Linked DNA regions of Macaca fascicularis. The protein of the gene in region 1 interacts with the protein of each later gene in a biochemical or structural test. Links are inferred from orthologs where the notes say so. Each region holds a gene or a part of one and is shown in the gene's direction. Other genes may lie near its edges.

Region 1 (3,820 bases):
GGGATTACAGGTGTGAGTCACCGCGCCTGGCCATTAATCAGGTTTTTTGTTTTTGTTTTTGTTTTTTTCTTCTTGAGATGGAGTCCCGCCCTGTCACCCAGGCTGGAGCGCAGTGGCGCGATCTTGGCTCACTGTAACCTCTACCTCCCGGGTTCAAGAGAGTCCCCTGCCTCAGACTCCCGAGTAGCTGGGACTACGGGCATCTGCCCCCACACCTGGCTAATTTTTGTATTTTTAGTAAAGATGGGGCTTCACTATGTTGGCCAGGCTGGTCTCAAACTCCTGAGCTCGTGATCCGCCCGCCTCCGCCTCCCAAAGTGCTGAGATTATAGATGTGAGCCACCGCACCCGGCCCCGTGTTTTTTAAAGCAACATTGATTTCGTAGACCCAGGACAATGTAGTCAAAACACAATAATTTTTTTTAATTCCGGAAGTCACTGTCTTGAAGAGTATGATGGAAAGACTTTAATGGCCAGCAAGACTAATTGTAAAACCTATAGTAATTAAGACAGTGAGGCATTGGTACAAGGACAGACAGATATCACAATAAAATAAGAGACCCCAGAACAACCCATGCATATGTGGCCACTTGATGTAAGGCCAAGGTGGCGCTGCAGAGCAGCAGGTAGAAGGTGATGTTTTCAACACACATTGCTCAGTCAATTGGATATCCATTTCGGAAGAAAATGAAATTTGATCACTACGTCAGATACCATACGCAAAATCCATTCACTAGAGTTTTTATCTAAATGTACAAGGTAAAAAAAATAACACTTTTAGAAGATAATATCGGAGAATATCTTCATAACCTTGAGATAGGGAAAGATATTTTAAATAGGACACAAAAAGCCCTAACCACAAAGGAACAATTGATCCAGTGAACTACATTAAAATGAAAAACTTTGGATTATTAAAAGGCCATTAAGAGGGAGGAAGATTGCTTGAGCTCAGGAGTTCAAGACCAGCCTGGGCAACATGACAATATCCCATCTCTGCAAAAAAATACAAGCATTAGCCAGGTGGGGTGGTGTGCACCTGTGGTCCCATCTACTTGGGAGGCTGAGGTGGGAGGATCACTCATGCCTGGAAGGTGGTGGTTGCAGTGAGCCGAGATCCTGCCAGAGCACTCCAGCCTGGGTGACAGAGTGAGACCCTGTCTCAAAAAAAGCCATGAAAACCACTGGATCATCAGAAGACACTTATAGGGTAATGTAGCTGCAATAGCAAAGATTTATATCCAAAATATAAAATGGCCAAAAAACAGACACTGCAGAATAGAAGATACCCAGATGGCCAATAAACATAAAAAGAAATGTGAAGCAGCAGGAGCTTTTCGAACACTGAAGTGAGAGTATAAATTGATGCAACTACTTTGGGAAACTGGCATTGACCGCTAAGTGGGATATATTATGCATATTTTATGATCCAGCAGTTCTACTCCTAAACGTATAACCACCCCACCGTACCTTCTGACCGCCAGTGCCTGGACATATGTACAAAAAGACTTACAGGAATGTTCATATTATTAGTATTTGTAATAGCTCCGTAAACTGGAACGGCTCAAATGTCCAGTAACTGTAGAATAGTACAGTATATTCATACAATGGAATATTATAGAGGAGTGGAAATGAACAAATTAAAGCCAGGTACAACAACATAGATGATCCTTATACACATTTTGTTGAACACAAGAAGCCAGTTGTGAAAGAATTGTGTGATCCCATTTTTATATATAGTTCAAACTCATCTGTGATTTAGAAGTCACAGCAGTGGTTACCTTTGCAGAGGAGCAAGAGTGTGTGATTGGAAGGAGGCATGAAGGGGACTCCTGGGTGTAGGTAATGCCTATTTCTTATCCTGCGTGTGATTACATGGGTGTGTTGTGTGTTCACTTGTAATAATTCAGTAAGATACACACTTATGGTTTGTATACTTTTCTCTGTATGTATGATGCTTTAATAAAACATTTAAAATAAAACCCACTACACTGAGAGATCATTATTTACCTCCCAGTGTTAGAGATCAAAATGTTTGGTAACACATTGTTGGCAAAGGAACTCTCTGCTGTTGGCAGCTGTGGTTAGAAGGATCTGTCTACAAGATTAAACTTTGACACAGTAACCTCACTTTTTTGGGAATTTATATTGCATATATTCTTGCTCATGTATAAGATTATTGATTGTAACATTGCAATATCAAGAGACTGGAAACCACCTAAATTTCCATTAGTTGTTAAGAAATTATAATATATCCACATAATGGAGTACTGTGCAGCTGTAAAATACATAGAAATGCTTTGTGTACTGATAGGAAAAGACTACTAAGTTAAAATGTGTTCTGAAGCTACAAATAATATACAAAATACAGTACACTGTATTAAAAGGGGCAAAGGGAAGAATATATGTATTCACTTGAATTTGCACAAAATATCTTTGGGAAGATGTTAAATAACCACATCCCTTTCCTGTGGGGAGAGGGGCTTGGGTGGCTGGGAGGTGGGCATGGGGGGCTTTTCTCTGGGTACTCTGCAGTTGGATTGTATTCCTGCACTTGGATCCATTTATTACCTAATAAATGAAAATATTTAGGAGTTAATCCTCAGATGTCTTTTTCCTCTCAGACATGGCAAATATGTACGTCTTACTCCGTGCTGTGTCCACTGGTTTACCTCATATGATTCAGGAGCTACAAAACCACATCCATGATGAGGGCCTTCGAGCAACCAGCAACCTTACTCAGGAAAATGTGAGTTGTGTGGGGAACTGCAGTGTTTTCCTCCTAATCAGATCCATCGTGGAGTCTTTCCTTTGACTTTACTATTTTGAAAGATGAAAGAAAAAGTCTTACCATGCCAACAAAAGAAATGTCTTTATTCAAATGTTTTAAACCTAGAGCTTGTTGGACTCATTTTGGAATTATCAAATTATTAGAAAGCTATTGATGAGATAGGCTGCTGCTTAGCCATACGGAGGTGTCCTTTGAACAGTTGTTAACTTTTCACAGAAAAATAAGCTTGCCATTTCTAAGTAACTGTGTTTTTCTGTAATTGGCGTTGATAACATTGTTTGTTGTCATGGTAGTAGTATTAATCAGCGGTAATATAGACAACTTGTAATTTTCCTCCTTTCCATATTCTGTGAATTTGGTTGTCTAGTAAGCAAATTTAGATTCAAATAATCTTCTGTAAGTATATGCTTGCTGCCCCAAATACCGGAAACAATAACCCTCGTGTCCCTAATACTCATCTTCCTTGAGTACTTTACCAATCACATGACTGTAACAGTTTGTCTTTCCTATCACCAAATCTTGTTATTACTGGTGACGGTTGATGATGAGCAAGAGAGACGTAACTTCAACTGTTACTGTCTCTTCTTAAGTAGAGCTGTTTGACTTAATCTGTAAGGTAGTATCTGTCACGCCTGTAATCCCAGCACTTTGGGAGGCCGAGGCGGGCGGATCACGAGGTCAGGAGATGGAGACCATCCTGGCTAACACCGTGAAACCCCATCTCTACTAAAAATACAAAAAATTAGCCGGGCATGTTGGCGGGTGCCTGTAGTCCCAGCTACTCAGGCGGCTGAGGCGGGAGAATGGCGTGAACCCGGGAGGCGGAGCTTACAGTGAGCCAAGATCACACCACTGCACTCCAGCCTGGGTGACAGCACAAGACTCCGTCTCAAAAAAAAAAAAAAAAAGATAGTATCTGTGTGTATGTGTGTAGCCGTCACTGTTCAGGAGCACTTTTTAGAGGCTGTTACCTTAGCGACAGATTGGTCTTTGGCAAGTAATAATTTTTAGTTTTTATGTTCTGCCACAATC
Region 2 (4,557 bases), on another chromosome or scaffold:
ACTCACTCCATCTCTGTCCCCAAGTGTCACTGATATGCCATTGCTATAAATAAGTTTTACATGTTCTAGAATTTCACCAAATATCCAGCTAGCAGTAACATCTCCAATTGCTACATAGATGTTATAATATTGTTTAAACTGTGTGTGACTCAAATTCAAATAAGAACTGCACACTGAAAATGACTGACATATCCTTTAAGTCTCTTTTAATTTCCTTCTCTCTCCTCTCATCCTAATAATTTGTTGCAGAATTTGGGTCATTTGTCCTGTAGACTTTTCTGACATCTAGATATTGCTGATTGCATTGGGTATTTAACATGTTCCTCTGTCCTGTGCTTTTTGCAGATGGTAGTTGACTTTCTCTGATTCTGTTTTGATTTTTTTTGGCCTCATGCGTTTTTAAATGGGTTGAAGGATCATATACTTTAACATTCTTTCGGTTTTAAGTAACAGAGAATTGAACTAAATATGCAAAATAGTGAAATTCGTTGGTTCACATAACTGAAAATTCCAGGGCATATCATGGATTTGGGGCTCATATCATATAATCATATTCTGGTTTTTCTATTTTTCTGCTTGCTACTGCTCTCTTCTGAGTTTTGGCTTCATTCTCTGTACCTTCTCTGGTTCAAATCCATAGGAAATAAAATTGCTTCCTGGTAGTTTAATTTTGTGTCACTGGCACTCATTGGCCTAGCCTGAGTATGCGTCCATCCTGAACTAATTAATAACACTAAGGAAATATGATATTCGGATTGGCCAGATTAGGGTGCCATGGTGAAGGTAGTTTCACAGGAACCACTTCAACTGTTACTCAGACTTTTAGTCTTCTCCCATGACAGTTGGTTTGCAGAGATAAATTTATTTTACCAACATAATTACTAACGAATTTCTACTATGTCTTTACATACAATAACCATTATTTAAAAACAGTATTTCCACCTAAGTGCAAGTGAATAGATTACAGTGTGTTTTGGTTAGTAAGGTCTAGGGGGAGGCTCCTTAGAACTGTCCCCCAAATTTCTCCCTACTAAGTAGCGGTCATCTACTATCTGTTATCGGAGAGGTGAGCTCTGCGGAAATAATGGTAGAGCTAAGTTTCAATACAGGACAAAGTGATATGCAAAGGTAGGGAAAAGGGAGAAGGGGGAGTGGGAGGCTGATCACAGGCCCATAAAGAAAACACGCAAGACACAGGGTGACAATGTATTTAAGGGGTGGGAACACTTCAGGTGAGGTTATCGTGTGGAAGAGCTCAGAAGTGGAACTTGGTCTACTTTACCAGGTTATTTTTAACGTCAACTGCAAAGTATTAGTAGTTTCATTTTTTGGCGGTGACTGCCAGCATCAGAGCGCGGCAGAAACTCCATGAGAAACGTCAGGATACTCTGGACCGAATACAGAATTCCGCGGGCAGCCGCAGTTGCGAGGGTCAGACAGCTTCCCCCTGCCTGGCCTACCTACGAGTGGCAGAAGCAACCGGAATCACGCCCCTTCCCGGGACCGGCTCCGCGATCGCGTCACTTCCGGGCCTCAGCGATTCGCCTCCGGGTTAGGCTGAGCCTTCTGCTTTCTGTGACTGGTGGAGCTGCCGCGCTGTCCGCGTTATCTCCTCCCGGTGAGAACGAACCGCAGTGTTCACCGGCGAGGAGCCAGCCCTGTCCCGGTCAGAGAAAGACGACGAGGATACCTGGGAGCGGGCGTCGGCCGGGCTGGGCCGCGCCGGTGCGGGCTGGCGACTCTGCTCCTCCGCTTGCTGCTGTCTCTGGGAACTGGGTGCCAGCGCTGAGGGGCTTCCAGCGGACAGGGACCCCCTTCCCCGGCTCCCCTGCCCACCCTGCCGGGGAGGGCGGAAGATGCCGGTGAAGAAGAAGAGAAAATCCCCTGGGGTGGCAGCCGCAGTAGCGGAAGACGGAGGCCTCAAAAAGTGTAAAATCTCCAGGTACCATCTCCCCCCACCCTTCAAGCTTCCCTCCTCCCTCCTTTGCTGGACAACTGGAGGAAAAGGAGTCGGGCCCGGCCTGCCGGGCTGGGGCTGGAGACAGGTGAGGCCCCTTTGATCGAGCTAGGCGGTAGGTGCCGAACACCGCGAGTCTCCGCGCCCGACCCGACCTCGTGTTCGAGTGTGTGCACGCTGGCGTTTATGGAGAGACTAGAAGAGCCGCCCACGTTTAGAGTCTACGTGCCCTGCAGGGTGGGGAACAGATGCATATGTAAATTGCGCTGCCCCCCACCCCCACCCCACAACCGACCCTCAATCTCCTACTCCCGTATCGCTCCTCTGCCCTTTATTTCTAGACTTAGAAGTGAGTGCAGTTCCGCGGAAGGGTCACTTCTAGAATTTCTTTGTAGAGTGTGAAGAAAGCAGCACATAAGGAATCTTGTCAACTGTCTTGGGAATGGTAGAAAGGAAAACTTGTATGCTGTAATTGGCCTCCATATTTAGTATTTGGAGTGGCCTAACCCGGAAGGTCCCAGCAGGAGGCCTTTTAAATTGCAGGAGCCCCATTTTCTGGAAGTATAGTGCCTCACCTATGCCAAGTGCCTGTGTGCAGAGTTGGAAAGGCCCTGCATGCTTTTTGTCTTCTAGCATTCAGGACGCTGTTCGCTCTCAGCATAAATTAAATGATTTGTGAACTCTTGTACTCTGTCCTATTGGTAAGAAAGAAGACAAGGCAGAACTATATAGTAGTAGTTCTTTGATCCCTTTGATCCTGGAGGCATCACAGCAAAATTATATGCTACAAAAAAATAACAGCAATTTTGGTGTGAGAAGTGGTTTTTGTTTTTTGTTTTTTTTTCTTTGTGACGGAATCTTCCACTGTCGCCCAGGCTGGAGTGCAGTGGCGCGATCTCCGCTCACTGCAACCTCCGCCTCCCGGGTTCAAGCGATTCTCCTGCGTCAGCCTCCTAAGTAGCTGGGATTACAGGTGTCCACCACCACACCCTGCTAATTTTTTGTATTTTTAGTAGAGACGGGGTTTCACTATGTTGGCCAGGCTGGTCTTGAACTCCTGACCTCGCGATCCGCCCGCCTCGGCCTCCCAAAGTGCTGGGATTACAGGCGTGAGCCACCTCGCCCGACTGAGAAATGCTTTTTTAAAAAATACCCATATTAGCTGCCTTTTCATCAATGTTTGGCACTTGATATGACAACTTAAGGTGCTACTATTAAAAGAAGACAGTAGCCAGGATTATAAGAAGGAAGTAATGCTAGAGCTCTCCTTAAACAGAGATCTGCTTAAACTGTGAGGTAGATGACTTATCTAGTCATCTTTTTTGTATATTGGTCGACTTTTTTCCCTCATTACTGTGTTTTGGTAAAGGAGTCTAAGAAGTATTTCTTGGGCTATTAATGTGAAAGATGATACACTTTTCTTATACCTCTTGTTAGCCAACATTAGAATTTGACATGGGTTTCTTTAGTAGCTCATATTTTTATAATATATAGGCAAATTATTAATTCATTTTTGTATTACTCTATCTCATGGCCATCTTAAGTATATAATGTATTAAAATTATTTAAGTACATCAAAATTGCTGAGCAGGCAGTATTATTAGAACTCAGGTGATACTTTGCTCTATCAATTTAAATTTTTAAATATAATACTCTTACTTTACATTACTCAATTACAGAGGTTCTAGCATTTCTATATCATTGTAGGATAATTATTTGAGTTCCTTGAAAAAAGTTTCTCTGAAAGTCATTAAATTCTAGAGGCCATTTTGAGCTTACCAAATTTTAGTTATTTTATGAAAAAGAGAAATTTTATGAAAAAAATGAAACAGAATGAACAGGAGCTAGGATTAAATACCCTGTCCCAATTATTTGGACTATTATTAACTTTTAGGGTTTTTTTGTTGTGTTTTTTTAAATCTGTGAAATTTAATATACCCTTAGGTCCTAAGTCATCATTTATCTTTAAAAATCTAAGCTTAGGTGATAAAACAACTCTTAATATAACATTTTATTTTGAAATATTGATTCATTAAGTATCAAAATATACTTCGTGTTTTCAATATTTATCTATTACACACAAATAGAATTTGTATACAAATCAATAGAATCACAATAAATATTTATACTTTTCCAACTACTAGGTTGAACTTCTTTGTAGTCTTTTAAAATGTGAGGAAATAACTTACTGATATTTTTGGATTTTGATACTGAGTGAAGAGGTGTTTGGGTTTTGTTAGCCGATAATTCTTACGTATAGACTACTGTTTCAAGTTGCAGTTACTTAACAACTTCAATTTTTTTCCAGTAATGCCAACCGAAGAAAAAAAAATCTTTGTTTAATGTGAATTGAAGTAGTTAATTTTGAACTTAGTTTTTCTCTAAGAGTTGAGATGTGATAAAAATCTTAGGCATCTGTGTGTTTTCTAAGCTATTGCAGATCCCAACCCCCTGCTAGACTAATAAGTGGAGAGGAACATTTTTCAAGCAAGAAGTGCCTGGCTTGGTTTTATGAATATGCAGGTAATGAAATTAATGTAAGAAGATACCAGTCATATGCTTCCAAAGTTTATTTGGCTCATTCATTTAACAAATTATCT

The links.
Region 2: of the proteins of CUL2 (region 1) and DCUN1D5, one has a biochemical effect on the other in vitro, tested with the Homo sapiens proteins (2 studies listed by BioGRID, with this or other methods). The link is inferred for Macaca fascicularis from reciprocal best matches to the Homo sapiens genes CUL2 and DCUN1D5.

What each region holds. Positions count from the first base shown.
Region 1 is NC_088383.1:35,802,749-35,806,568, reverse strand, and holds part of CUL2 (cullin-2), read left to right. Parts: intron 1-2,621; coding exon 2,622-2,746; intron 2,747-3,820.
Region 2 is NC_088388.1:102,097,758-102,102,314, reverse strand, and holds the start of DCUN1D5 (DCN1-like protein 5), read left to right. Parts: upstream 1-1,549; 5' UTR 1,550-1,856; coding exon 1,857-1,942; exon of another isoform or gene 1,943-2,045; intron 2,046-4,388; coding exon 4,389-4,480; intron 4,481-4,557. UniProt on the Homo sapiens protein: Contributes to the neddylation of all cullins by transferring NEDD8 from N-terminally acetylated NEDD8-conjugating E2s enzyme to different cullin C-terminal domain-RBX complexes which is necessary for the activation of cullin-RING E3 ubiquitin ligases (CRLs).